4 linked regions of the Notamacropus eugenii genome follow. The protein of the gene in region 3 interacts with the protein of the main gene of each other region in a pairwise test. Links are inferred from orthologs where the notes say so. Each region holds a gene or a part of one and is shown on either strand. Other genes may lie near its edges. The genes, in order: NCK2, NEDD9, TRIP6 and BYSL.

Region 1 (8,009 bases), on a different chromosome or scaffold from region 3:
GGGTTTTAGGAAGGGTAGGGATTGAACCACCTGTGATTTCATTAAAGTCAAATTCAAATAGAAGCCCAGGACCACTAATACATACAGAAGGATCGCTGGGGGCCACATATTAAGCTAACTTTAAAATGTAACACTATGTTTCACTGTATTTTTATTTTGTTAAATATTTCCCAATTACATTTTTATCTGGCCAAATTCAGCTAGGCTGGACAACTCTGGTGTAGGGAAGTCCAAGAGAAAACCTCCTCTACTACTTCTCTATAACTAAAACTGCCTAACAATGAATGGGGCAATGGTTTTGGAGTCAGGAACTGTGATTTGACTGAATAAACTCCTATTAATGCAGGCCAGCACCTTTTTCTTCAACTTAATCTTAGAGAGCTGCCCAGAAGCACTAAAAGTTTAAAATGACTTGTCCAAGGTCACATAGCTAGTAAATGGGTACAAATGAATGGGCTTCTCTTTGCCAACATACTGTATCTCAAGAAACTATGCCCAGTTTGCATATGCCCAGTTCCACCATGGTATAGTGAATAGTAGCCACAGACCCCAGAAATCCTAAATTCAGAGCTTAAGTCCTGCCTCTGACCTGTCACTTAATCTCCGGAAATTTAGGGAAGAAACAATTTTAGTTAAAGAAAAAGGTGCTAACCTGCATTAATAGCATACTCAATCATCTTTAATGTTTGGTTCAAGAATACAGGCTAGAATTCTACTAAGCATATCCCTTCTGTAACATTAGGGGGCTTTTTGTATCACACAGCCTCTAATTCTTCTTGTTTCTTGCCAGGTTTACATTCCTCCATCCTCCGGAGCAAGTTAAAGATACTGGTCTGTTTGGAAATAGACTAAGAAATTAATGAGCATGTGGAGACGCTCCTCTCAATGTGGAAAAAAAAAACCAGTTTATTCAATCAAACCACAGGTCCTATCCTTCCTGACCCCCAAAATGCCCCATGCATTGCCTCCTGGTCAGTATCTGTAAGTCAGCTATATTCTCAAGGATTGTTAGAAAACGCGATGAATTAACCACAAAGCCAGCGACATGGAGATATGTCGTGTCCATCACAAGCTGGATGAAGTTGTTAACATGCCTGGCTCCTTTATGTCAGGTGCTCAGTATCCACAGCAGAAAGACGTCAGTTCCTCCAGCATTTTTACAGTTTGCCCATTAAAGTGCTTCGCAAGTGAAATCCCTCCACACGACACAAAGTAAGTTGTGTTTCTGGGCAAGTTGGGAGTTCAGACCCTAAACAATAAGGGAATTTTACACGGCAACTGCCTCCAGTAATAGCAGAGAGCGTAAAACTATGGAGAAACTTGAGTCCAAGTAACAAGTAGGACTAAGTCGTCTGGATAATGTGGCCCAGGACCACGTTCCCGAGCCTCTGGCAAACACCCCCTCCAGGAGGGCTGGCAGTAAGGCGGTGGGCACTGCCAACACAGGGGCACGAGAGGGGAGGGACGCGGCTTCCTCTCCATCCCCCCGGATCGAAGGGTCTCGTTCTCTCCCCCTAAGGAGCTCCCCGGCTCGGGGGGGGGGGCGGCTCCGGCATCCTCCCCGGGGGCTCCGGAGCTCGGCGCTTCCTGCCACCACCCCCAGCCCGGACTCCCGCAGACCGGAGCCCCATCGGCCTCCCTTCCCTCCCCGACAAGACCTCCACCACCACCTCGGTCCTTCTGCTTACCGCCCGACAAAGCGGAGCCCAACGCCCGTGCGTGCCACCCCCCGCGTTCCGCCCCACCTCCGCGCTCCTACCCCAAGCAGAAGCAGCCCACCGGTCCGTGCCCCCGCCCCCACCTCTCCTCCTCCCCGGGCGCCCCACGCACTCCACCTCCAAACAGCGACACCCACCCAGGAGGCAAAAGAAAGGAGGCAGGAAAAGCGACCGCCGGGTGGGGATGAAGGGGCGTTGAAAAGTGCAGATGCCTCCGCCAAGGTTGGGGTGCGGGGGCTCCCCGGGCCCCCCTGGGCACCAAGAGAACCCCGCTCCGCGCCAGCGCCCAGCCCGTCCGCCTCTCCTCGCGGGAAGGGGGCGCCCCACATCAACTCCGCTCCATCAGCCCAAGTTTCCGGCGGTGCCGGCACCCCGAGCCCGCGGGCTGTCCCCGTCCCCAGCCCCGCACGCGCGCGCGGAGCCCCTCCCCATCCCGGCCCGGCTCTTACCTCCGGAGCGGGGGCGGCTGAGGGGGAGGCAGAGAGCTCGGCTGCGGCGCCCCAAAGTCCCGGAGCCGGGGAGGCCGGGCGGAGGCGGAGGCGGAGGAGGCCGGGCTCCCCGCCGCAGGAGGCTCCGCTCTTTGTCTCCTTCCCCTCCGCCGCCGCCGCTGCCGCTCCCCGCCCCCCGCCGGCGGAGGCGGACTCTCCCGGGGCCGGCGCGGCCGCCGCTCTCCTTCTACTCCTCCGGCTACTGCTCCTCCTCCTCCCCGGCGGCCGGCAGCGCGGCTCCCAGGCCCCGGATCGCTGGCCTCTCAGGCGTCCTCCCGCTCCGGTCCGCGGCTCCCGGCCGGACCAAGCCCGAGCTGGCGGCGGCGGCGGCAACCCCTCCCCCCATGCACACAACTCCCTCCTCCTCCTCCTCCTCCTCCGGCTCCTCTTCCTCCTCCTTTTCCCCTCCCCTTCTCCTCCTCCTCCTCTCCTGGCCGCCGCCGCCTCCTCGGCTGCTCCTCCCCCGGCCCGGGCTGTGACGCGGTGGGCTCGGCTGGAGGCCTTCTTCCCCCCCCCCCCCCACTCCTACCCTCTACTCCCCCACCTCGCTGCCCTTCCAGGCTTAATGGCACTTGCAGCCGCCCGCCCGGGCAGGGCTCTGCTGGCACGCCGCTGACCCCGGGGCAGCCGGCCGGGGAGGGGCTGGCGGGGATGGTTGGGAAGGGGGGCGCGACCCCGGGCACGGCCTCGCCCCTTTGCACTTACGGAGTTCTGGGTGCCTGGGCCAGGGGGGCACCGGCAGCCTTCCAAGCGGGGATGCGCTCCTCCAGGCAGAGAGAAGTCTGCCGGAGCCCCAGTGGGGGCCGAGGCCGGGGTGCTCCGAAAGGCTGCTCTCACTCTCTCGCCTTCTACCTCTCCCAACGAGAGCCGGGTACAAAAAGACCGGCGGGCTCTACAGCAGGAGGGATAGAAATGGTTCAAGGACTCCTCGGTGAGCTCGGGAAGGTGGCACGCCGCTTAGCGATGGGCAAATACCGCCCATCCGCGGTGGTGGGTAGACGGGGTGGAGGGAGAGCCGGGCTCCCTTGCGACCTTAAAGTGCACGTGCGTGTCGTTGGGGCAGGGAGCTAATGAAAGGAAGGCAGTTATTTCTGCCTTTGACAAAGGGCCCTCGTGGGGGGCCTTTGTTATTTCTTTGATTTCTTATCCAGATACTAAAGCTATTGAGTGATTACCCATCCACCCACCCAACAAAGCCCCAGAGAAACTCGCAGGAAAGAAGGCCTGCGATGGATGACGGTGAAAAGTCTCCCTTTTCCTCCCTAAAGTTGCATTCTGGGGATATTTGCATGTATTTACTTTGACCACAAAATACGTTTTAATTTCAGGTATCCCTCCTGGAAACAATTCAGAAATGGAAGAGGCAAAAACCCGGCCTTTGTTGACTGTGCATCATCTGTTTAATTCAGTCAGGTTCTGATAGTACAGTCTATTGCTGTGAGGCAGATAGCAAATTATTTAAATGTCAGGTCCCACATGAAATTGTCATCTGTGATGCGATTGGTCTTCTCCCCCTATAATAAGTTATGGTTTGCCTGTAAAGAATTCCCTTTACTATTTAACAAGCTTACAGCAACACAAGTTTCACTTTTCACATGGACATCCAGGTGTCTTCTCTCCCCCAAAGGGCTTCCACCAGGCATATAGCTAATATTCTAAATACTAAGCCCCTGTACTCAGTTCAAAGGAAAGCACTCTCCTAGATCCTTGTAAAAGCAACGATAACCTCCACTACTATAGGTAACTTGGTAAAACCCAGCTCGGAAGAGTCAGAGGTCTTTTGCCTATTGTCTGTGTCATTTAACTGAGTAACTACAGTTGTCTAATATCGGTCCTATTCTTGCCGTCTCAGCATCTCCATTTGTGATCTCTGTTTTAGTGTTAAAATCTACCTTTTATCTGTAGCTCTGCTTCTGATTCATGTTTGCCTAGCTGTGGTGCAAGTCAAAGGTGTAACAATGTTTCAAAAAAATTTGATCTGTTAGGTACAGTTTCAAGTTTGTTTTGCAAACCTTTGATCTCACTGCCTTTATCTTTTTTCTCTTCAAATTGGGGACGGAGGGAGATGGGTCTTCATTGTGTTCTCATTCTTGCTGTAATCCCCTACAACTTACATCCAGCTCCTGCCACTCTACTGAAAACTGTTTTCTAAATTCCCCAAAGTCCAGTCCTCTTTTCTGTCTTATCCTGCTAACTCTGAATTGTGACACTTTCTCAAAGCCTCTATTCCTCTAAATTATTGTGGTTTGTGTAATACCTCACTACCCTGGATCTTCTACTTCAGAGCAGTTTTTCTTCACCTCCTTTATTTTTAACAACCAGCCTTGTTGGTGGTAAACCACACCTCATCCATATCCTCTGCCCCTCTGATTGGAAGATGAAGCTATAAATCTCTCCATTTAAGGAGTGGAACAGGACTGACATCTCTTCAGATATCTCATTTCCCATCTTAATCACTCATCTTGGCCTTCTTTGACCTCCACCATACCCCTTTTCCTTCCTTCATAAGTCTCCCTCCACTCCCTTTTCAACTTTCTTTTGTGTGTTGTTTCCTCCCATTACATTGTAAACTCCTGGAGGGTAGGGACTGTCTTTATACTGTTTGTATCCCCAGCACTTAGCAGGGTACCTGGCATATAGTAGATGTTTCATAAAAGTTTATTGACTATGAACTCCTCTCCCTTAATGGTACTTAATCCTCTTAGCTCCAAACTGTGGTTTTTTTCCTGCAACCCCCTTTTCTTTGTCTCTTTACTTTTCTCCCTATAAACTCATTCCCTCCTCCTCCCTCCTACCCCAAAGTAGGGCTTGCCTGTCATACTAGTTCTAGCTTCATAAAGGACATCTCCAATTACATGTAATATCATCTCTTATGCAATACATTGGAAATCATCTTTTGCCTAAAACCAGTTCTTCCCAATTTCTCTATTGTCAGAGATACCCATACCCAATCCCTCCACAAAGAAACTTTAGTTTTATCTTAGACTCTTTCTTTGTCTTTCATATCCAAATTTCCATATCTGCAAAATGAGGAAATTGGACAATATCATCTGTAAGCCCTTTTCCAGTTCCACCGTCCAATCAAATATATAAGTAAATTGTGGGATTAGAATTAACCTCAGAAATCCATTTCCACTTCTGAAATATTAATTATAAGTTCATCAGTTCTTTCTTTAAAATATCCTTCAATTTTGCTTTTTTCTTTCCATTCTACTGTCTCATCTTTACCCAGTCTCGTCATTGTCTTTTTGCCTCAATATTCTTGCCTTTTTGAAATCCATCAAACATAGTCATGGTATCGTGACTTATTATCCTAAAATACAACTTTTGTTTATATCACATCCCTGTTTAAAAACCCATAGCAACTTTCCATTTCCTCTTATGTCATGTCTAAATTTCCTTCAAGGGCAGGGACTGGCTTACTTTTGGATTTGTATCCTTTGTGCCTGATATATAGCAAATTATGTCAATGAAAATCATGAAGTACCTACTATATCCCAGCTGGGATACAAAGAAAGGGATTAAAAAAAAAAGCAGCCCTTGCTTTTAAGTAGCTCACAGCCTAATACCAGGTTGCTTATTAAAATCTTATTGATTGATTTTAAGACCTACCTATCCAGTTTCTTTTCTCCCTAACATTAAAACGTTGCCAATTTCGTCACAATTGCCTCACCACCCCCATCCAAGCCATGTTTACTTCCACTTCCCATGCCTTTGTATATGTTATTCCCCAATCTGGAAATCTTCCTGCCCTTCAAGGACCATCTCAAATTCTTTTTTTCTCCATACATGACCCTTCTTCAACTACTCAGATATCCAGTAATTTATTTTCAAATCTGTATTACAGCATTTACTTGATGCATGCTGCCACTTTGCTTCTTTATTTCCTACATCTATGCTAATAGTCCTCTGACTATATTATAAATTTCTTGAGGGCAGGGCCCATCACAGTCTGAGCAATGCTGAACTCCTGATAGATTCTCATTAAATCCTTGCTGTTTTAAAATAACGTCAAGAGGCACCTAAGCTTTCATTCTAGCTTCGCTAACTGGCCCCTAAAAACGGATGGGGTCACAGAGCTTAAGTTTTTATTTATCTGTGTAAACTTAGAGGAAAAGGCTAAAAAGAAATCTTCAATCATTAAACACCTTCCTCCCACTATTAAAGGACAAAAAGGTGGCAGGATTGGAGGGGTTTTTTTTTTTAAGCTAGAATTGTCATATCATTTTTGCAGAAACTCACCCACTTCCACTGCAGATGCTAAAGCAGCTTGGGGATCTACACAGTTTCTGTGACTTACTCAGGGTCACATAACCAGTATGTTAGAGGTAGGTCTTGAACTTATCTTCCTGACTCTGACTTGGTTCTCTATTAAATGTTGGTCTTGGACCCTTTTTTTTTTTTGGAGGCATTTGAGGTTAAGTCACATGCCCAGGCTCACATAGCTAGTACAGGTCTGATTTGAATTCAGGTCCTTCTAACTCCAGGACTGGTGCCCTATCCAATGTGTTTCCTAACTGGCCCTTGGGGGCCCTTTATATAAGTCAAAGAATGTAAACTACTTGGAGTAGGGATTGTTTCATTCTTTGTACTTGTATCCATGGCACATAATAAACACTTGTTGATTGATTAATTGGTTTTAATGATATGTGAAGATTGAAGAAAAAATACAGTTACAAAAAATTTAAACACATATAGCCAAATAAAACTCACAATACTGTTCCATATGAGTTCAATGGCATTTAATTACTATAGGTTTATGATGTTTGGGTCTTTAGTAAGACTTTATTGGTTGAATTATCTCCTTTCCAAGAGACAAGGAAAAAGAGGTGTAGAAAATCTCATAAAAGTTGACTTCAATTGCATAGGAAAACAAATAGGGGATTGAGCATGTTTAAAAATTACTCATTCCCTTTCTATGTTTATGCATATATACCATGCTGCATAGTAACTATTGACTTCTATTTTTGTTAAGGGATATGAGCCATTTTTAGTTTCCCATACATCAGTTTTAAAATGACATGTCACATTTAGTAAAGACATTTTCTGAAAACTAAGAACAATGCAACCCTGAATTACTTTTAAAAGTATTTACTAGAGACAAGTGGTAGAACAAAATTATTTTATATTGGAGTTTTGTGGGGTTTTTTGCAAAATCTCATAAATAGCCATATTGGTTATTGCTAATTTGCAAGATGAAATTTGCCTTTATGTTAAAATCACAGAGGGAAAATTTCTTTGTCAAATCTAGTTGGAGTCCACTTTCCTTTTTTAATATTTATCACTTCCTAAACTGTGGGTCACTACCCTATATGGGGTCGTGAAAAATTTGGCAGTGGTAAAAGGTTTCTGAACACTTGATGACCAAAAATTAATTGAAAATGAAATGCGTAATGAATTCGAGTTGTTTCTGGTAGTACTTGCCCTGTTGCATTGTGCACCTTCACTGCAGCTTTGGTTCTGAACACAAAGCATGGGCACTTTGCACTGTGCATTCCCTCAGGCCATGCAACACTGTCACAAGAAGTCTGCAGTGGAAAAATTTAAGAAACCCTGATGGAAGTGAATGTAACTGAATCGTTTTTTGATAATTCATCATCTTAAAGTACCCCAGTACTAGTGTTATTAATATTGATCTTAGCAACTACTTACTCATATAGTGCTTTACAATTTACAAAGTCATTTTATATCCAGAAACTGCCTAAGAGCGTTGAAATGCCTAACCAAAGTCACATGGCTTATAAATGTCAGAATTCTGACTTGAACCTGGGCCTCTTAACTCCACTGTTAATGTCCACCTGCC
Region 2 (7,264 bases), on a different chromosome or scaffold from region 3:
AATATCTAAATTGAGGTTTTAGAGTTTTTTTTAAGTAAGGGGAAGGAACTGGATCTGTAATTTTATCTATATAGGGAATTCCCATTGAAGAAACTCCCTTTACTCTCGCAGGTTGACAGTTTATCTGTAATTGTACTGAGCTGCCTGGGTCATTAAGAGGTTAAACAATTTCCCATGGTCAAATGGCTGGTATGTTTCAGATATAGGATTTGAACACAGGTTTTCCTGACTCCAAGGTTAGCCCTCCATCAGTGCTGTCATAACTCTTTTCTGTGTATATATACAATGACAAGATTCTGGATCCCATTGGTGAGTAGAAATCTAAGTTCTCCTTCTTCCCCAAGGGAGCTATCTTGACCCTGTGAGTACTTAGAGCTAGGCTTTGATGGACGTCAGCCCTCTAAAACTAAGGGAAAGGAAAAGAGGAAACCAGGGAGTAGAAAGTATATTTCAAGTTAGCAAGAGGCTAACTTGAGAGAAACTGCCCCTAAGGATGAGGACGAGTTGTTGAATGGAAAAATAGTGGTTTGAAGAAAAACCATCATGGAAATGGGAGCCAGGGTTGTAATAATGGGAAGTGGCCAGCACCAATACAGGCCTCAAAGGCAGGATCCAGGTGCCATGAAGCAGATCTAGGCAAATCCTATTTTACTGGACTGTGCCGCAGGGGCAGTCATAACTGGTGGTGATTACTTGCCACTAGACTTAAATGGCCCCCCCCAGCTCACCAGTGTCTTCTGTTGGAATGTTCATCTTGCATTCACTGTGACTTTGAGTGAGAGGAAAGTCTTCTGCCAAGCTCAGCACAGCGCTTTTACTGACAAGTGAGCTTGAGGCATCAAAATGCCTCAAAATATCCTGACACCAAGATTGGCCTTAGAAAAATTGGGCATCAATAGAGCCATTTGCAGTAATTGAGGTCCACGTTGAATCTGAAATCCAGTGAATTCTAAATAGACCTGCTTATTCTGAAGAAACTCCTTCAGTAATGAATAAGCGGAATGAAGAAGACATTGATCTACAATTGACATTTTGTGATATTTTAAAATGTTTTCTGCTCTGAAATGTTTAAGGATTATTGAAACCTTCTCCTTTCCCCTGCCTCTCCATTTTCAGGAAACCTGGAATCTGTTCCTGAAGCTTATGTTTGATTCTATAAACCTGATTTTCCTTCCTCCTCACCATGTCTTCAATTGTCTTTTAAAAAAAAAAACTGTCACAACATTGTTAACCATATCATTAGGGACTTGTTTTTCTTCACTAAAATGTATCAGAGAGAGCAAAAGACCAGGGGTTGGGGGTGGGGTGTTGGAGGCAGGTGAGAATGAGGGAGATAAATTTTACAATTACAGGGCTATTTCCTGGCCTATAGGCTCAGAATGAACAAAAGAGAATTGTTGATTCAATTTTATAACTTAACTGATGCAGAGAGAGAAACTTAAACCTGAATCATTATAGGTAAACTCGTCAGCAGCTTTGGTTGGGGGAGGCTAAGATAAAATTCTGGTATGGGAGGTATATCTTGACTCCTTCCTTTTCCACTGTTTTTTCCCCCTGTAGGTATGGCTTATAAAGAAAACCAAGTCATGCCAATGGGGTGAAGCCAAGGGAATAGCCTGAGAAAGTAATTTCTGAGAAGAACCCAGGGAATGGCTGGAAAAGGGGAAATCAGATTCATACAAAGGTGAAAGGTCAGTGACAGGGAATGACAACGCTGCCCCCACACCCCATTAGCTCAGCCTAACATATACTACCATTACCACTACTGCTTGAATAGTATAATATATATTTTAGTACTAGGAAGTTAGTTTTCTTTTTTGAAAATAAATTTTTACTGACATCTTTCCTTTTTTACATCTCCTAGGCTTCCTCTTAGGTAGCTAGGTGACAGAGTAGATAGAGTGCCAGGCCTAGAGTCAGGAAGATTTGTTTGAAGATTTGTCTTCAAATTTGGCTTCAAACACTTACTAACTGTGTGACCCAGAGTAAGTCCCTTCGCCCTGTTTGCCTCAGTTTCCTTATCTGTAAAATGAATTAGAGAAGGAAATGGCAAACTACTCCAGTATCTCTGCCAAAAAACATAACAAAACCCAACAAACCCTAGATAGGGTCAGCAAGAGTCAGACACAGCTGAAATGACTGAACAGCAATAGCCTTCCTCTTGTATATCTTCTCCATCTAGAGAGTTATCCCTTATACCAAAGAATTTTAATAAAAAGAAAAAGAGTAGAAAAAAATCTGCAAAACCAATCCATACATCAAAGGCAATTAACTTTCAATTATCCATAAGGCAGAAAGCTCATATAACAGACCTTAACAAAGAGTCTACAAATCCCATCACAGTCAGTCAATCTCATTTCTCACCAAACCATTAAGCATTACTGACACAACACTGTCTGTCCTAAGTAGGAAAAGTGATTGAGAATGATTTTTGTAAGATATGACCCCTTCTTCTCCAGGACTTTGTTTAATGATCAGCAATGAAATCTTGTGTTCATCCCCAAGGAAAAATAGAAGAATAAAAAGTAGGGGAGACATCAGAGATCCAAATCATTCCCAACCTGGGGAAATTGTTCCCTGAATAAGGCTGCAATATTTAGATGTTTTTAGCCACTAGCCCTAGTTCATGGATTATTCTTGAAATATTTCAGATTATTCCCTGTCAGATTTTAGAATGGAAGAGGCATTTCTCCTGGCATTGCCTTGACCATCCAGAGAATTCTCAGATTTGTTGTCCGTGTTAAAGACTCATCACAACAAAGTCTCACTGCCTAGATCAAAATTAGTCCTTTTATTCCAATATTACCTAAAAGCCTTGGTGGAATTGAGAAAGTAGTTTGCATTATCATTTCACTGATATTAGTACACCTGTTGAGTCAACATAGATAAGTAGTACTTAAATAAAATATGTCTGTCCAATCACAACTTACTGTTTCCCACATTTTTCTCAGTTCTTCTCTTTGTTAAATCAGGGAATGATGGGGCTCTGGAGTAGGAAGCTAGTGACTCCAGGGTTTCAATTCAATTACAGATTTCTTCTTTTTCATAGCTCCTCAAAAAGCTTCCAAAAGCAGGTCTCATGTTGGGGTGTGGGGTCATAGAAATGATCATCGATGGCTCCTGAAAAGAAAGATTGAAAGCTTGAAAGTGGGAAATAATAATGAAAATAATAGTTTGTTTTTCCATAGAATTTGGGAGTTTTCAAAGTGCTTCCTTCTCCCCTCTTTCTCTAATAGAATGTAAGCTCCGTAAAGGTAAGACTTTCTTCTTTGAACTCCCAAAATATATCACAGATACACCTGTAGAATACTTGGCACATTGGGCAGGGGGAGGAAAAGTGTAAGCAAGGTGGGATTCTTTTTTTCTTGGAGTTCAGTTTCCCAGGCTTATACTAAATTGTAAATATCTGAAGGATCAATCTCCTTTGAACCCTGGTAATTCATAGCTGTGCTGAGTAACAAAGGTTTGGTGCCTTCTTGCTCTGAGCTTATTAGTTAAAAGGGTATATATATACATATATATATATATATATATACACACCCTTTTATACATATATATGTATATGTACATGTATGTATACACACACACACATATATATGTTCTGAGGCAAGATACTACCTTGGGGGGGCTTGCTCATATAAGGATGTTTAGCCATTATTAAGGAGCCCCCCCAGCTGTGAATGTGAATCACTTATCAAGGCTTGAAGAGGAGACCTCTGATAGAGAGAAGACACCTCTGATACCAACCCTTGTGAGAACACTGAAACACTGGACTGGAATAAAGTACCAAAGGAGAGTGTGGGCTTAGTGAGACTGGATTAGTTATCTGTTGTTTTCTGGTTAATGTATTATTTTGCTGTGCCCAGAGCCCAGACTGGAGTAACCCTCTCCCCATGTGCTGGAGGAAGATAAGCTGTCATGGAGTTGGGGTGGTACAGGCCAGAGTACCTGGACCCAGGCAAGAGCAGGTAGAGCTTGGAATGGAGCAGTCCTTTTTCCCATGAGGTGGGATATGGAGCAGGAGCAGGGAGCTGTCTGCATGTGAACCCAGGCAGGATCCAGGAGTGGTCGGACCCTGAAGGAGGAGAAACTCCTCTGTTCACAAATTAGCCCTGTGTCAAGATGGTGACTTTACAACAGGACAGGAGCAGTGAGTATGCTTTCCTGCCGTGTGCCCCTGGGTTGACTTGGGACCCAGGGAAGCGGAGTTGTCTATGGTGGGATGGGGGAAGTGCTGTGGTCCCCTGGGACCCACCCTGTTGGCTTTCTCCCAGCTGCCCCTCAGGACTTTGAAGCGGAGACTGGAACAGTGTTAGGATTTGGACTTGGACTCTCTGGGCTCATCAAAGCATGTGTGCACCCGAGAATGCCAGGTGGGAGCCTGCAACAGCAGTGTGGAGAGAAAGACATACCCCCCAGAGGACTTGTACATTTTGTTCTGAATTGAGGGGATCATAACCTATTGTGACCTAGGGGTAGATGGTGTTATATTTTCTGCTACCACTGGGGATGTGCTGTGTAAGGGAAGACCTTGGCTTGGGATCTCCTGATTGTATAACGCTTTGGTTTCTTGAATAGGATTTGGTTTTGAGTAAATAGAGAGCTTATTACTTTGCAATTCAACCCTAAATAAATATACAAATATATTCACAGCACCTGCCCTCGGGTGTGTTGCATTGATTGGCATTACAGGGGGAAACATAGTAAATGCATGTTGAGTAGAGTAGAATTGAAGTAGGTCATTGCAAGATTTCTCATATCCATTTAAAGATGAGGAAACAAGCTCAGGGAGAAAAGTATACTTGCCTGTATTGACACATTTTCCAACACTTGGGGATCTTACATTTGTTGTATGGGACCATAGTTCATTTCCTTGGAGAAACAAAATCAAATGTTGTGTTTGTTTGTTTTGTTTTTAATCAGACCTGTGATTTCATTAGTGTAATGAACTCCAGAGAAAGAAAGCCTCTCTACTAATACAGGCCAGCCTCTGCTCTGAAATGTGTAATCATGGAAAATTACCTATGAAGTTAAGTGCCATGCCCAAGGCCATATAGTCGTTATGCTTGTAAGGAAGGGAAACTCTCCACCTCAGAGACATGATTAGGTTTTAAAGGCATGTGAACAGGATTGTCTGCACTGTGTGATTACTTTATCCATGTGAGAACTCTTTTGTAATTGGGTGGAGAAGTATACAGTATGTGTAATTAACCAGAACAATCTAACCATACCCCTGGGGGTCTTTAAGTAGCTGGAAAAATTTTAGCACTTGTCCATTAAAATAGTGGACTGGTCTAGTGGTAGAGGATTTCATTTCAGAGGATTCCAGCCAGGCTCTTCTCTTTCTCTCTTCCCCATCCCCTACACTCTCTCTCTCTCTCTCTCTCTCTCTCTCTCTCTCTCTCTCTCTCTCTCTCCCTCCCTCTCCCTCTCTCTCTCAATGACCATGTTAATAGCTAGATGGGATAGTAGCATCTAGAGCACACACTGGAGGCAAACATGGCCACATGTATATAGAGAACTAGCCAGCCAGCAGAAGGATGAAGCAGTTCCAGGGAACATGACCTCTTGTACTGGAGAAGAATGCTGACTATGGACTCAAGGAAGGACTTCCAGTAATTGAGAATTACAAGTTTGCTCTTAATCCACGTGTTCTCTACATGTGTGGCTTACCATCATCCTACTCTTCCCCTGGTCTCTGTGTATTTGTGAGAGAATGTACCACTAGTTAGGTGGCAGAGTGGATAGAGTGCTGGACCTGAAGTCAGGAGAACCTGAGTTCAAATCCACCCTTAGATACTTGCTAGTTGTATGACCTTAGGCAATTCCCTTCACTTCTATTTCCCTTTACTCCATTGAGTGAACATCTTCCACGGATGTTGTGAGGATCAAATGAGAAATCTGCAGTGCTTATCATAGTGCCAGACATACAGTAGGTGCTTAATAAATCCTCCCTCACGCCCTCCTCTTCCTTCCTTCCTTCCTTCCTTCCTTCCTTCCTTCCTTCCTTCCTTCCTTCCTTCCTTCCTTCCTTCCTTCCTTCCTTCCTTCCTTCCTTCCCTCTATAAATACCCTTTCCTCAAAGCTAATTGAATTTCGATGGCTGATGTCAATGGGAAACACAGTTGTGGAGTGGGTGAACAACAGTAGTAGAAGTCCAGCCATTCAGAATTACCCTTAGGGCTCTGAGCATAGTAGCAGCCACCCTCTAGGTGCAAGTTGGAATTGGGGAAGGAACCTCAGAGGGATTACACTATGTGTCAGAGACAGAATTTAATCAGGTCTTCCTGATTATCTCCCTACTGTGTATCAGTGTTTATACAGAATCTAGTGTTTCTTCCTTTATCTTCTATTGTTACTTAGTTGTTTTCAATTGTGTCTGATGCATTGTGAGCCCATTTGGGGTTTTCTTGGCAAAGATACTACAGTGCTTTGCCATTTTCTTCTTCGGCTCATTTGATTCACTAAGTCAAACATGGCTAAGTGACTGATCCAAGATCACATAGCTGATGAGTGTCTGAGGCCACATTCGAACTCATGTCTCATGACTGTAATCTCAGTGCTCTAATCACTGAGCCACCTAGCTGTTTTTATTATCTATCCTACTGCAATGGCTCATTTTATTAGAGCAGATTAGAAAAGATTGGGTCTTAGAGTATATGAGGTCTAAGGGAACTTTGAAGTCAACTAGTCTAACTCCTTTATTTTAGAAGTGAGGAAATTGAGGTGAGTAAGTGAAACGAATGGTCCAAGGTTAGATGCTTAGGAAACAGCACCACCCATACTTGAACCCAGATCTCCTGATTCTCTTGTCCAGAGCTCTTTCCATCACCATATGCTGAACATCCTATAAACTGGAGGACTCAGTCCCGAGGATGATTTACCCCATTCCCTTCTCATTCTTCCTCATTTAGAGGGATGCCTTGAAGTGTTCGCTCCTGTTGGCTTGAAGCCCCCAAGCCCCAGCTGAGCAGTCTGTCTTGCACGGCAGTCAGTGAAGGTCACACATGGCTGTCTGCTTTCCGTGTTTCCTACAAATGAGTAAAACTGATGCTTTGGCAAAAGTTTCTTCAGACAGCTTAGATGCAAAGTACAGAAGTTGCTTTTTCCTGGGGAAGAAAAATTGACGGAGCTTTTGGTGGATGGGTGCTGGCCAAGGTTTCATTTCCCTTTAGCATTGTGCTTCAGGTTTTCTTTTCTTTTTGTCAGAGAGGAAGGAGGGGAAAGGAGGAGGGGGGAAGGAATGGTTGGGTAGGGAGGGAAA
Region 3 (7,014 bases):
TTCCTAAGTCAGTTCAAATGAAAGCGATTCAGTTTCCTGGCATGGCGCTGGTAGGCTGTCCATGTTTCACAAGCATATAACAATGAGGTCAGCATACCTCTGTAGACCTTCAGTTTGGTAGTCAGGCTAATACCTCTTCTCTCCCAAACTTTTCTTTGGAGCCTCTCAAACACGGAGCTAGCTCTGGCAATGAGTCTGTCAACCTCAATATCAATGTGTACATCCCTGGGAAGTACACCACCAAGGTAAGTGAACTTATCCACAGTACTCAAGACTTCTCCATTTGTTGTAACCAATAGTACCACATATAGATGGTGTGGTGGCGGCTGATGAAGTACCTGTTTTCTTGGTGTTTGCCAGGCCTAGAGGCCTGTGTGGGCTACCCGAGTCTTCTTACCTCACCTCCGAGGTCTTCAGTTGGCCAAAACCGGATGCTCATATGAGAGAAAGGACGTTCCAGAGTCGAACAAGGGTTGAGCTTTATTTCAGGGTCTAGTTACAAGTGCAGGGGGGTCTTCCTTAGGAGGAAGAGGGGGAGATTTCCTAAGGAGGCTAAGATCTTAAGGGATTGGAAGTAGAAGTACAAGCGGGGAGAGAGGGGGAGGGGAGAGAGAAGAGAAGAGAAGCGGAGCCTACTGTCCTCTTGGCTCCTCACGTGCTAAGAGAGCTTTCAGGCTTCCTCAATCCTACTTAACTCTCCAGCAGCATAGTTTGCATCTAAATACCATGCTGTTAGATAACAATAGTGTGCCCAGATCCGGGACCATCTCGAGGGCGGGGAGATCTCTCTCCCATCACGTTTCTCATGGGGAGAGGCGGAAATACCCGAGCTAGCTCGGTTCACCTCTATTCCCTGCCGTTTCCTGGGAGGGTCTCGTGAGAGCTCTAAGATTTAGAAGCTCCCACCTTTACCCGCCCGAGACTGTCCACACGGAATTGAGCTTCCAATCCCAACAGGTGTTAATTATTAGGCCAAAATTAGCACAGGCAGCAGAGAATTGATCCATACTTTGGTACACTCAAGGTCTACTGTATTTTGTGTTGTCTCTAAGTGTGCACATGTTCCATGTGCCAGTGGTGAGTGGAATCATCTTTGCAGATGTTTTTGTACATTTTGTACATTTTTTTATGTTTTCACCGCAGAGTAGGATTCCCTGCCTGCCGTGGTGATCAGGCCAAGGTTGGATAAGCAGACAATTTTTAGGGCACCTTTTCTACCCTCCTTCGTCACACCAGGAGGTGAGCAGTGAGATCCTTAAAAGACTGCTCAGACACCAGGAGGCTGCCAAGTCCCACTGCTGCTTCCAGTGAGAAACGACCCTACAGCCTGGGCCGCCTGTGTGCAGGGTTGTGACTATAGCTCCCAGCAGCACCTCCTGCTTAATCACTTGCCTGTCGCCACAGGAATTTGAGGTATAATAGTAAAATAGTAAGGGTGATATCTTTTGATTCATGTGTAAATTGGATTTAAGTGAGGCAGAGTTGCACAGAGTTGTCAGACTCACTCTCTCCTCCAGAGTCATCATAGTCCAGTGGCAGGACAGTATCAAGATGACTAGCAATGGTTCAGGATACAATGGATGACCTTGGTGTCTTTGGTGTCTAACCAAGCTCTAAGTGCTCCACATTGCCTGCTTGAACTGCCTTCGTGGCTGTTGGAACAAATTGTTCTCATCCGCCCAATCCACCAGGGGAAGTCTTCACATGTTTGGGATAGACACCCCCCTAACTCACCAATGGGTTTGAGACCCCTTTGGCTACCTTCAATGAAAGGTTTATAGACAGGTGAATGCCAGATCAAGTGGGAAGATTCAAGGAGAGTTCAAGGGGGCTCCCAGAGCCTATACCCCATCAGAATGATGCCCAGAAAGTTATAAAAGGAGTGCATACCCCACAATTCAGCTGTACCACCACTAGGCCTATATCTTAAATAGCTCAGCAAGAGAGAGAGTGGAAAGGGACCTAATTATATAAGAATATTTAGACTGGATCTAGTAGCCAAAAATTGGAAACTAAGAGATTTTCCTCCTATGGGGGGGAAAATTATGGTATTTGACTGTAACAGAATATTATTGTGCCATAAGAAATGAGAATTTGATAATTTCAGTGGAAAACTGAGATGACATCTATGAACAGATGCACTACTGGAAAAACAACTTATACAATGCCACCGTTATAAAGAGAAGACCCCAAAATTTTACATCCTGCTGAATCTCAAACTGTAGTACAAAGCAATAATCATTAAAATAATTTGGTCATGGTTTAAAACAGGAGAAATCAAACAGTGAAATAGCTTGCGTACACAACACAGAGAAGAAAATAAACATAGTAGCATTGTTTAGGAAAAACCCAAAGACGGGATGAACTGATGGACTTTAAAAAGCAGAAACAAACACTTTTCAAGAATGGCCAACGTGGGAATTTATTTTGTACACGTATGAAGACAGTTTTATTTACTTATTTTTTTGCTCAGTAGGGCAAGAATGGGAAGGGCAGATTACCAGTTCGTGTAAGTATGCATGTGCATATATATATATGTGCGTGTGTGCATATAATGTATTTTTTTTTAAAGAAAGGTGAAATGGACAGACCAAGACAAGCACAGGCAAGAGTTAATTGAGAATCTGGGAGCGTCTTTATTAGCCGGCAGCTGTCCTCTAAGGGGGCAGCCCTGAACAAAGGTGTGTGTGCCTTTTAAGCATCTTAGCACCTCTGGGTACAGCTTTGTGGTTCCAAGAGCTCACATTTTTCACAGAACAGTTTTGACAGGGGTTCCTAGGTACTGCTAGGCAAGTGGATGCAACAGAGAGGGGGGCCCAGGCAGCTGCTAGGCAAAGGGGTACAACAGAGATGGGGGCCCAGGAAGCTGCTAGGCAAAGGGGTACAACAGAGAGGGGGGCCCAGGCAGCTGCTAGGCAAAGGGGTACAACAGAGATGGGGGCGCAGGCAGCTGCTAGGCAAAGGGGTACAACAGAAAGTGTAGCCACTAACAGTAAGTGGCTACTAGGCCCAACCCTGCCTAGAAACTCAACAGACATTTCTCAACCCAGGGGCTCTGGAGCCGGGGGGAATAATGTCCATTTCAAAAGGAAGTAGAAAGCAGCTTGGGCTGGGGTAGCCTTGGTACTCCTTTTTTTACTTGACCAGTTGTGTTTGTCCTTCTGGAAGAGGACCTTGACATCAAGGTGATGACACGCCTTGCAATTGACTTTGATTTGAGGGAGGCAGGGCTGTGCAAGGTCACCAGCCTCACTTTCTCCTCCTGAGCCATCTGGGTCCAGTGGCCTGACATTCATCAGGACAGCTGGAGATGGCCCAGGATGCACTGGGAGACCCTGGCCCTTTCAGGCTAAGGCCTTACCACATTCTCACTTTGGGTGAGACACACCCATTCAATGAATGCGCTTCTTTAAGTAGTTGCTCAAGGGATGGTCCCTTTAATAAAAAAAAAAACCAAAAACAAACTGGGAGAAGACCCTCGGGGTTCCTAGGTAAAAGAGAAACAGTTACTATTTATTCAGTACTATTTAGCATTTGGCCAGTGGAGGGAGGGAATGCAAGGGCGAAGCGTGGCAGGCTGTGTGAGCTGCAAGGTAGAGAGCCAGGGGCGGGGGCCACCCGCGTGGGTGAGTTGGTGAATCCAAAGAAAAAGGTGTGGGGTTATTATGGAGCCTTCCCAGCCATCCCAGGTCTTTCTTGGTCTTCTTTCTTCAACTCTGAGCCCAGGCTCAGCCCCCAGCCCCCAGCCCCGCAGGACCTCAGCCCCCTGCCCCCAGCCTCCATCCCCAGCTTCCCGGGGAAGCCCCAGAAAGTGGAGCTAGAGGAGGGGGCCTGGTCAGAGGGAGACCGTGGGGAAGTCGGTGAGGGGCTGGGGGCTCGGGGGGAGGGGCAGAGGCGTCTCGGGCCGCCACGTGATCCTCATCACTTAGGAATGCGGTGATGTCACTGGGGGCGTGGCTCTCCCCCAAATTGATGTTGAAGAAAAAAGAGAAGGCAGAAAAAGTTTCTTCTGTCTCGGAGCCGGAGCCAGAGCCGGGGTGGAGACCAGAGAAGGGGGCCACCTCCGTGGGCGCCGGAGGAACGCCACCGCGGAGTTCCCACGCGCTCCTCCACTCGTGGCGAGAGCCGCCTTGCCTGCCATGTCCGGCCCCACCTGGCTCCCCCCAAAGCAGCCGGAGCAGAGCAGGCTCCCCCAGGCACGAGCTCTCGTGCGGGGCACTCCCGGCCCCTCGGCCCACGGAGCAGGTAACGGGCACGTCCAGCCCAGGACCCAGGGAGTGGAGGGTGCCCGATGCCCCCCTGGTCCTCGCTTCCTCCGGGCCCGCTGCTTCCCTTGCTTTTCCTACGCCCCTGCTGCAGACCCTCGTGCCCCACCCCCACCCGCCCCAGCAGGTCTCGCTGCTTCCCAGTTCCTTTCTCTTAGCACCTGGGCTGTGCAGACAGGAAGCCTCGGGGAGCAGTGAATCGGCCCCACGCCCTCCCTCCCTTGTTCCTGGAACCCTGCTTTTCTCTTCCCCTTTCCTGGTCTTCCTCCTCTAACCAGCGCCCTAAGCCCACTTCGTGTCTAGGCAGTTCCTACCATTTCCCAACAGAGCAAGGCTATCAGGGCTCAGGCCGACCAGAAGAACTGGCACCAGCCTTGGGGAGATGCCCCGGAGCCTCCCAAAGCATACAGGTGGGAAGTCGAAGGATTTTGAGGTGGGGGCTGTATGTTTGGGTTCCCAGGAAAAGGGTCCAGAAACTTCCTCATTTCTTCTTGACCACAGGGGCTTCGGCCAGACAGGGGAGCCGTACACCTAGGAAGTCTGGATGCAGAGATAGATTCACTGACCAACATGTTGGCTGACCTGGACAGCAGTAGGGGCCATGCCCCATGTCGTCCAGACAGACAGGTGACTCCCTCCCAGAATCCTCCTCTTTTGCCTCTGCAATAACATACCCTTGGAAAACAGAAAGATCTTTTCCCCTATAACTTCTACAAGATGTCAAATCCCCTAACCTTTTCCATTCCAGGGCTTTTGGGTTGTGTCATAATATATGAGCATGAAAGAAGTCCAAGTTGTCAAGGTAGATCCCACTCATCCTATGGTATCTTTATTTCTTTTTAGGCATGCGAGCCCCTTCGGCCCCCTCCCTACCGTTCAGGTTTCCTGAAACCAGGTGGAGGAGTGACCACTCCACCAAGGGTTCCAGCCCCATCTTATGGGGGCCCTACCCCTGCCTCCTATACCACAGCCAGCACTCCAGTTGGCCCTGCCTTCCCGGTCCAGGTGAAGGTGGCTCAGCCTGTGAGGGGGTATGGTCAGTCCTGGCGGGGTGTCCCTCAGGCCTCTAGCCCACCCCCAGCTCCTTACCCTCCTTCAACCAGTTGGGCTGAGTCTTGGGGGGGTTCCTATGAGGGGCACAGAGAGCTCAGGGCCAAAGAGGAGAATGTTGGAGCCTCTGGCCCAAGAGGAGGAAGAAGAACAGGAGGATATATACCTAAGGTGAGGAGGATGTATACCCAAGGTGAGCCAGGAAGACTGGCCATTGATGGGAAATGGGTGGGAGTGATTCTACAGTAGGGGTGGCAAAACCCCTTAAAGGAAAGTTGGGTGGCTAGGAGAGAGGAAAGAGGCCACTCAAGGGACCAAGGTGGCCTGGGTTCTTCCATTTTCTTTGGCTATTGTGTTTGAAGATGAGAGAGACCGTGCAGTTGGTTCTCATGGGAGGAACCCTGGATTTGGGGCTAAAGGACCCAAATGTGAGCTCCAGCTCTTTAACACTTACTGAGTGATTAAGCAAATCCCCTCACTCCAACTTCCTCCTCTTTTACAATGAAGATAATCATACGCCTTATCTACCTTAGGAAATTCTAAAGTGCTATTCATTGTAAACTGTTCTTTATTATTATGTGGTTCTCTGCAATACATAGCTCCTCCTTCTTGGAGATTTGGGGGCAGGACAGGGGACAGAGGGGATTGAGTCTCATTCTGGTCCCCTTTTCCCATGCCCCCTAGCAGGCTGCCCCCAGCAGGGCTCCCCCTGAGGAAGAGCTGGAGAGACTAACCAAGAAGCTGGTACATGACATGAACCATCCACCCAGTGGGGAATACTTTGGTGAGCCAGGTTCTAAACATCTGCATTTTTTTGAGGGGGGTGCAGGGATGTTCTGGTACTCTCTAGACTAAAATTGAATCTCTCTTCTTTCTTCCCTTCTCCCCCTCCCCACTCCCTGCCTTGCTCCTTAGGCCGATGTGGGGGCTGTGGGGAGGACGTGGTAGGGGATGGTGCTGGGGTTATTGCCCTCGATCGTGTCTTCCATGTTGGCTGCTTCGTCTGCTCCACATGCCGGGCTCAGCTCCGGGGCCAGCACTTCTATGCAGTGGAGAGAAAGGCGTATTGTGAAGGCTGCTATGTGGTAAGTGACAGGAAGCCAAGGTTCAGAGTGAAGGAAGATTTGGGATCGGAAAGAATTGCCAAGCTAGGGAAGTAGATAATTTAGTCCATAAGGGCAGCTGGGTCTGAATGTGGACTATGCCAGGTAAGGTACATGTCTTCAGATTATTCCCTATAGGGTTTGAGACTCAGTTGAGTGTCAAGATGTCGGGAGGCTGGGGATCCAGACATTTGGGTTCTGGCAGGGAGTTTGACTGGAAAGTTGACTGTGGGACTTCTTCAACAGGCTACTTTGGAGAAGTGTTCCATGTGCTCCCAGCCTATCTTGGACCGGATTCTACGGGCCATGGGGAAGGCCTATCACCCTGGCTGCTTTACTTGTGTTGTGTGTCACCAAGGTCTTGATGGCATTCCTTTCACAGTGGATGCCACCAGCCAGATCCACTGTATTGAAGACTTCCACAGGTCCTGATGATCCCTGCTCACTCAGCCTTTCCTTCTCTGTGGTCTTAACAACTCCATTCCCCTATCTCCATTCCCCCAAATCTTTACCCCATTCATAGGGATCATAGAAATCATATAGTGTCAGAAGAAACTTGAGAAGCCACCTGGTCCAACCTTTCATTTTTACAAATG
Region 4 (7,634 bases), about 23 Mb from region 3:
CTCATCTAGAACACCGCATTTGGTTACGGGTGCCAAAGTCTGAGAAGGACATTGATAAACATAAAAGCTCCAGAGCAAGGCAACCAGGAAGGTGAAGGGTCCCTAAGTTCATGTTACGTAAAGATCAGTTGAAGAAATTGAGCATGTTTAGCTCAGGAAAGAGAAGGCTCAGGGGGAACAAGGTAACTACATTTAAGAGGCCTGAAGGGCTCTCATGTGTAAGTGGGACTGAAATTTATTCTGTTTGGTCCCAAAGGCAGAATCAAGAACAAAGGATGCAAGTTGTAAAGAGAAAAATTAAGACTTAATATCAGGAAAAACTCCCTCACAATTAGAGTTATCCTTGAAGTGGTACAGGTTATCTCAAGAAGTGGTAGATTTCCCTCCCTCACATGTTGTCAAGCTGAGGTTAAACAACCATTTGTGAGGTGTGTATAGTAGAGATTCCTTTCATGCATCGTTAGATTCTATGGGCCACTGAAGTCCTTTCCAAATCTTAAATTTATGATTTTGGGAGACGAAAATAGAAAAGAGAAGAGAAAAGGCATTATGTTTTAGCGGATAGCAGCCAGCTCTCAAGTCTAGGAAGTCTTACTTCAAGTTCTAACTCGGACACACTACATGAGTTACCATGGACAAGTCACTTACAAGGTCCCAGGCAACTGTTGAAGACTACAAATTACAGACAGGTGACTAATCTGTATCAGCAGTGGGTGCTCTCCACATTAATGAAGTCATAGGTTTGGATTCCTTCCCAAAGTTCATCCTGTGGTTATCCACCTTCTAGTGACAGATCCTCTCTGATATGAGCTAGACTGGAATGGGTATGAAAGACATGCTATCTACCACCAGATGAGTAGTCAAAGCCTTTCTAGTTTGGGAAGACTACCAGAGCTCGGTAGGTTATATTACTGGTTATATTTGCCATGGTTTTTCCTTTAAAATGTTCATTAAAAAAATTAGACAACAATGAAATCAGGTATCTTCATAGTCAAGGCTTAAGAAAATTCCCAATCAAGCAACAGATACAAACAATTACAAAAGATGAAATTGTCACTTTCAATTACATAAAATGTAAAAGCCTTTACATGAACAAAATCAAAGTAACTGAAACAAGAAGGTGAATCATTAATTGGAGAGAAATGCCACATTTAATATCTCTGGATAGAGGTCTGATATCCAAGATCTATATAGGGAACAAAGATATATAGCCACTCCCCAAAACTATTCCCCAATAGATTAAGTGGTTTAAAAATGAGAACAGACTTCAAAAGAATAGCAAACTATTAACCACAAGAAAGATTACTTCAAATAATAAGAGAAATGCAAATGAAAACAACTCTAAGAATCCACCTCATACCCAGCAAATAGGTCAAGATGCCAAAAGATGGGAAAGATCAATGTTGGAGGGGCTTCAGAAAGACCTGGATACTAATACTATATTGGCAGAACTGTGAGTTACTCAATTTCTGGAAAACAATTGAGAATTATGCAAAAAAGGTGTGGGTGCTAAAAAATGTCCATACCTCTTGGTCAAGAGACCCTACAGATAAGCCTATACCACAAGGAGGTCCAAAATGGAAAGTCTCATATTATACCCTAAAATATTCATAACAGAATTTTTTGGAATAGCAAAGAATAAGAAAACAGACACCAATGGACAAACTAGGGTACATGAATGTAACAGATTATTACACTCTAAGAAATGAGAAATATCAAGAATTCAGAGAAGCATGGAAAGAGTTGGAACTGATAGAGAGAACTAGGAATTCATTTTCACTTCCCTCTCATCCTCAGACAAATAGGCAAAATATACACAAAGTTAACAATGTAAACAAAAAGACCAAGACGAAAATAAAAAACATGAAACTAAATGCTATGTAAATTACAGTAACCAAGCTTGGCCCCCAAACATAGCTTCCTCTCCTCTATGTATAAGTAGGAGACTGTGGGCATGGACTATATAAAACGATTAGTGACAGTTCTTTTGCTGAACTGTTTCCCTCCAACATTCTTAAAAATTTTCTTTTTTTCACAAGAGATAGCTTGCTGGGCAGAGGAGAGTGGGTAAGGTTATAATTCAAAATGAAGGCAATATAAAAAGAGATAAAAAAATAAGCTTTAAAAATATTTTAAGTAAGTATCTAGGTTTTGCCTCTCTAGTTCAATTGTGAAGATTATCTTTTCTAAATATCCTTTTACATGTGTATACCACTTAACACTTTTCAAAGCACTTTCATATCTCATTTTATCTCCAAAACAACCTTTTAAACTGTAATTCCCAATATACAGCTGATGGAACAGACAAAAGATTTGTCTAAGCTCACAAAGCAAGTAAGTAGTACAGAAAGGACTACAATTTAAGGTCCCACACCCCCTATTCCTAGTGTGTGGGTCTTTTCATCATTTCTACTTTTGCATTTTAATTCAAACCATTGGTACAGAGTTTCCTTCCCACAGAGTGGACAGTATATTGAGCCTCAGTGAATGGCAAAGGAAGTGGCCAGAGTGATAGTATAGGGAGTTCCAAGACAGGAAACAAACAAACAAAAAGTGTAGAAAGATTTCCTCTTGGTTCTCAACCTTTAGACTGAAAAAAAACACCAAAACTCTTACAACTGAGCGTCAGGAGTTCAGAAATACTAATGAATAGCCTTGAGCAGAAAACTGTCTCAGCCAGAAAGATGTCTAAGGACATTAGCATCTGGAGAATCTACTAAGTCTGAGCAAGGTTCCAGCTGTCCTACTTACCACACACTGACCTTGGCTGCCCATGGTAGAGGCCGCTGTGTGGTAGGTCTCACAGTCCACGCAGAATGTCCCCTGCTTCTCTGCCCCTAGCAGTTCCAACTTCCTGGTCAGGATCTCCACGGTCTGCTGGACACTCTTACCCTCAGCCACAGGCATCTGGGACACACTAGAAGGGTAGTGATGAGCCTTCAGGGTCCACATAGATGTGAACAGGCTCCCCCAGCTTCTCATTCAGCAAAGGAAGCTGGTAGCCCCAGATCCCATCCCAGCCAGAGTCCCATCCCTGCTGGGAGATGCCACTGCTCATATGCGAGAAGCAAAACACTACAGGCAGTCTGTGTGTGGCTTTGGCCCAAATGAGAATTCTCCAGAAAAAGAAAGATAAGGATATCCTAGGGATCACACTAAGCATATCATTCTCCCAATGCAGCAGATGTTTCTCGTTTTCTGCTTTTTACCTAGTTCCCTTTGCTGTCATACACCTTTCCCCTCACCATGCCAAGTCTCAGAAAGAGATTACTGATTGAACTCTGGGGACTACTAGCTGGCAGTCAGTAACTTGCAAGTGCCAAAAATAACTCTAGAAAGGAAAGGTCTTCACAAGCTCTCAGATGTGGCACCAAAAAGTTGTGCCCTTATCTGATACCTTCTTCGGTCAAGAAGCATTTACTAAGCACTACGTGTGAGTTACTGTGCTAAGCGCTAGAGGGATACAAAGGAAAGATAGGGTTGACAATGACCCCTCAGCCCCAGATGTGAAAAGCAGACCACCAGGGCACTGTTTCTCCTTCTCCCTCTTCAACATGATGGGTTTTCCAAGCCGGGCCCAACAGCCTTCAGAAGCTGGCTCCTTTCTCCCCCTTTCAGTGCCAGGGATAATGCTCCCTCCCGCCATCCCGGGAGGATGGTGATCAAACTCTGGTCAGGCAGGAGATCCCGTCCCCCTGGTCCAGCTCTACTGCGGGGTGTCTCGGGCTGGAGGTCGGGCGAAGGAAGAGGAGAAGCTGAAGCCTGCCACTCAGTGACCTCCAGGGCTTCCTCCCGCCCTTCGCCTTCCCCTAAGAACAGGGAACTGCCTTAAAGTCTCCCAGAATCTCTAAAAACCTACAATTAAAAAAAAAAACCTACAAAACCCAAGCGTAAACTTCCCCCCAACACACCCACACCCCCACCAGGCCTGCAGCGCCCCCAAAGCGGGGACGGGTTGAGAGCTGGTAGATGGAAGGGCCTGACTCACACCCGAGCCCAGGCATCCCGCCCCCACCCACTCATCCCAACAAGACCGGGAAAGGAGAAGGGTCGGGAGGAGGCCTCTGCGGGGACGCAGCGCCTTCTCCGTACTCCCTCGCGGTCCGGCCCGGGTGCCCAAGGAACTCTGAGACCTCCCCCCTCCACGTGCAACATTCGCGGCCCTACCATGTCACCCCCATGCTTCCAGGTCGCACGGGAGTGTGTACGTTGGAGGAATCCGACGCCGCGGCCTCGCCTCTCCCTCCGCTCTCCCGCAGGAAGCCCCACTTCCAGGCCTTGGTGGGAGGTGGACGGAAAGACTGTAGGGGAGAGAGAAGGGGGAGGGGAGGAGGAAAAAGAGGAATCCGGAAGTGATGCATTAAGTCGGGCCTCGGAAGTGACGTATAAATAAAGCGTCTCAAAGAGAGCACCAGCCGCGGAGTTGCCAGGACTTGGGCGATCACCCCGACTAGGAGCTCCGCCCACTTTCCCCACCCTAGAGTAAGGCGGGAGGTTTCTAGGAATTGACTCGCGACCTAAATACTCATCTCTGGAAGACAGAACAAATCCAAACCAGGGCTACAGCTACAGTGGGCAACTACGAGTCCAATTCACATAACGCGAGCCGTCGTACGGCGGGGGCCCCGGGAGGGGCCTGGTGACGTCTAACTTCAGGGGGCGGGGCCGGTAGGGGGGGCACCGGAAGCTGAGTTTCCGGCCTCCGATCGCTGGGAGGCGCTGTGTTCCGCCAATGGAGCTTGTCTTCTAAATCTGGGAGGTGCAGAGAATGACGCGCTGCTTGGCGCCGGCGCAGTCCATATTCCTGCCAGTTCCCCACGTGTGTTTCAGAGGAAGGGGTGGTGGAGACCATGCCCAAGATCAAGTCGTCCCGTAAGGCCGGAGGGCAGGCAAAGCATGCCCCTCTGGCGGACCAGATCCTGGCAGGGGACTCCGTACGGCCCGGAAGCCGGGAGAAACGGAGGGACCGAGGCCGCGGGACGGAGGAAGAAGAAGAGTACGTGGGGCCCCGGCTGACCCGGCGGATCCTACAGCAGGCGCGAGAGCAGCAGGAGGAGCTAGAAGCTGAACATGGCTCGGGTGACCAGACAGCGCCGAGAAAGCCCACCACGCGGCTGGGTTAGTGAGGGGGTCGAAAGGGTCCTGCGGGAAATAGGGGAGGGGGAGGAGCCGAGAAACTGAAGGCGGAGCTTCAGGGAAACTTGTGGGTTAGTTACCTTGAAAGCACACTCGCTAATCTTCCACCTCTCCCTGTATACTAGCTGCTTTCTTACTGCCTACAAACATGCACGCGTCTCCCTTATCCTCAAAAAACCCCCACTTGAGCCTTCCATCCCCCCCTCCATCCGACTATATCTGACTCCCTCTCTTCTGCAGAATTTGAGCAGTCTGTTTACAATAGGTGCTAACTTCCAATTAACCTTCCTCTCATTCAATTCTTTGCAATCTGCCTTCTGATCTCATCATTCTACGGGCCCTGATCCCTCCAAGGTACCAGTTATTTCTTACTTTGCAAATCTCTACAGCTTTTGACACTGGGTCGACCTCCCTCTTCTTCCTAATACTCTATTTTCTATGGGGTTTTGTGACACTACTGTCTTGATTATGTCCTGGTTCAGGGTTGGGGAACCTGCGGCTTCTAGGCTTCTAGGTCCTTGGGTGTGGCGTTTTGACTCAGTCCAAGTTTTACAGAGCAGATCTTTTTATTAAAGGGATTTATTCTGTGAAGTTTGGATTCAGTCAAAGGGCTGCACTTGAGGACCTAGAGGGTCACATGTGGCTTCGACGCCGCAGGTTTCCCACCCCTGTCCTGGTTCTTTTCTGCCTGACAGTTCTTTTGCTGTCTCCTTTGCTGGACATTCATCCAGGTGAAGCCATCTATTTGTGAGTGTGCCCAAAAACCCTGAACTGTTCTGTCTTATTCTTCTCTATTACTTTATTTGGTGATCTCATCAGTCTCTGTTGATTCAATTATAGTCTCTTATCATACATATGATTCTTATAGAGTTTTTTATCCATCTCCAACTGACTATTAGACATCTTGGTTGGTATATCCCATAGACTCCTCAAAGTCATTATATCCAAACCAGAACTTGTTAGCTTTCCTCTAAAACCCTAACTTTTCTATTACTGTCAGGAACCTAAGAGTCATACTGTACTCTCTTCATTCTTTCTCATCCCACTATTTCCAGTCAGTTGGCAGGTCCTGTGGATTCCATCTTTGTAGAAACTTCTGTATGTTCCCTTTTTTCCTCTTGACACTACTACCCTCCTGGTACAGACCCTTATCACCTCATCCTTGTCTATTGTGTAACCAAGTCACTCCCCAGGTCAGTCCGTCCTCCACCAGAGGTGTCAAACTGTTCTTCCTAAAGTTCAGATCTCATCATGTAATTGTGCATTTAGTAAACTTCAGTGGGTCTTTTATCTCCAGGATCAAATATAAATCCTATTCAGCTTTTAAAGCCTTTCATAACCTGACCCCTTCCTACCTTTGCAGTCTTTTAATATTTTACTGTCTTCCACATACTCTACCATCCAAGGATTCTGGTCTTCTTGCTGTTCCTTGACCAAGACACTCCATATCTCTACTCATCTTTTCATTGACTCTCCCCCTTGCCTATAATTTTCTCCCTCACCTCTGCCCTCCTGGCTTCCTCAGCTTCCTTCAGGTTTCAACTGAAAATCCCACCTTCTGCAAGAAGCTTTTCCCAATTCCCCCTAAAGCCTTCCTGTTGTCTTCCCATTAGATTGAGTTCCTTGGAAGTGTCTAATGTTTTTGCCTTTGTATACCTAGTGCTTAGCACATAGTCTAACACATAGATGACACTTAATAAATGATCATTAACTGGTGACTCAGGCATGGAGGCGCATAGGCCATGAGAGGGAGAGGGAACCCAAACAATGATGTTCATTCATTTTCCTTTCCATCTCAGTAGACTTCTCAGAATTTTGCACCTGCATAGGATCTTAGAGGACATCTGATAAGGGAAAAGTGTCAAACATAGCATTTTTATTTGTTTGTTTACATCTATTGTTTAGTTATCCTTTTCTCACTTTTCAGCCCAGACCTCTCTGCTGCTTTTACTACTACTACTGACCACCCTCTCCTCCTGGATAGTCTCTCTTCTTTAGGTTTTCAGACAGTTTGTTCTCTTGCTTCTCCTACTTCTCTGACTCCTTTGCTGGTTTATAATCCATAATCACACTACTTAACTGTAGTTATACCCCAGTAGTATGCTGGTAAATGTTTAACAATCAGCTCTTCCACATGCTTTTAAGCTTAATCTTCATAATTAAGTTTTCTTCATATCTTAAATCTAAATAATCAGCAAAAAAGTAAATCAAGCTCTCATTAGTAGCATTTGCCATTTTCCAAGGTATAAATCCTTACATTGAAAATCTAACAGTCCCAAGAATAGTTGGGGCTGGCTCCAGTACATCCCTAGTGTACCCCAAGACTATATCCTGACTATGATCAAATTTTGTGATCAAAATTACCTGTGCCTGTTCACTTAAGCGTTAGCTGAAATAAAGTGAAAATATCTCTATAGAGCAGACAAAGCATTTTTATACATTTACTATGTGCCAGGTACACAAATGACTCCTAAATCTCTTTATCTGACTCCAGTCTA

What was found.
Region 1: the proteins of TRIP6 (region 3) and NCK2 interact in binary tests that used the Homo sapiens proteins (3 or more experiments, as listed by UniProt). The two-hybrid records come from large-scale screens. The link is inferred for Notamacropus eugenii from reciprocal best matches to the Homo sapiens genes TRIP6 and NCK2.
Region 2: the proteins of TRIP6 (region 3) and NEDD9 interact in binary tests that used the Homo sapiens proteins (3 or more experiments, as listed by UniProt). The link is inferred for Notamacropus eugenii from reciprocal best matches to the Homo sapiens genes TRIP6 and NEDD9.
Region 4: the proteins of TRIP6 (region 3) and BYSL interact in binary tests that used the Homo sapiens proteins (3 or more experiments, as listed by UniProt). The two-hybrid records come from large-scale screens. The link is inferred for Notamacropus eugenii from reciprocal best matches to the Homo sapiens genes TRIP6 and BYSL.

The regions. Positions count from the first base shown.
Region 1 is NC_092877.1:200,902,491-200,910,499, reverse strand, and holds the start of NCK2 (cytoplasmic protein NCK2), read right to left. Parts: upstream 3,003-8,009; 5' UTR 2,912-3,002; intron 2,305-2,911; exon of another isoform or gene 2,168-2,304; intron 1-2,167. UniProt on the Homo sapiens protein: Adapter protein which associates with tyrosine-phosphorylated growth factor receptors or their cellular substrates. Maintains low levels of EIF2S1 phosphorylation by promoting its dephosphorylation by PP1.
Region 2 is NC_092875.1:182,734,862-182,742,125, forward strand, and holds the start of NEDD9 (enhancer of filamentation 1), read right to left. Parts: upstream 3,021-7,264; 5' UTR 2,943-3,020; coding exon 2,931-2,942; exon of another isoform or gene 1,561-2,930; intron 1-1,560. UniProt on the Homo sapiens protein: Scaffolding protein which plays a central coordinating role for tyrosine-kinase-based signaling related to cell adhesion. As a focal adhesion protein, plays a role in embryonic fibroblast migration.
Region 3 is NC_092873.1:79,910,876-79,917,889, reverse strand, and holds the start of TRIP6 (thyroid receptor-interacting protein 6), read left to right. Parts: upstream 1-4,001; 5' UTR 4,002-4,139; coding exon 4,140-4,245; intron 4,246-4,592; coding exon 4,593-4,675; intron 4,676-4,766; coding exon 4,767-4,892; intron 4,893-5,108; coding exon 5,109-5,486; intron 5,487-5,999; coding exon 6,000-6,099; intron 6,100-6,230; coding exon 6,231-6,400; intron 6,401-6,664; coding exon 6,665-6,843; intron 6,844-7,014. UniProt on the Homo sapiens protein: Relays signals from the cell surface to the nucleus to weaken adherens junction and promote actin cytoskeleton reorganization and cell invasiveness. Involved in lysophosphatidic acid-induced cell adhesion and migration.
Region 4 is NC_092873.1:102,945,147-102,952,780, forward strand, and holds the start of BYSL (bystin), read left to right. Parts: upstream 1-4,623; 5' UTR 4,624-4,850; coding exon 4,851-5,118; intron 5,119-7,634. Other genes in the region: MED20 (mediator of RNA polymerase II transcription subunit 20), read right to left, coding at 2,763-2,917, 4,168-4,361. UniProt on the Homo sapiens protein: Required for processing of 20S pre-rRNA precursor and biogenesis of 40S ribosomal subunits. May be required for trophinin-dependent regulation of cell adhesion during implantation of human embryos.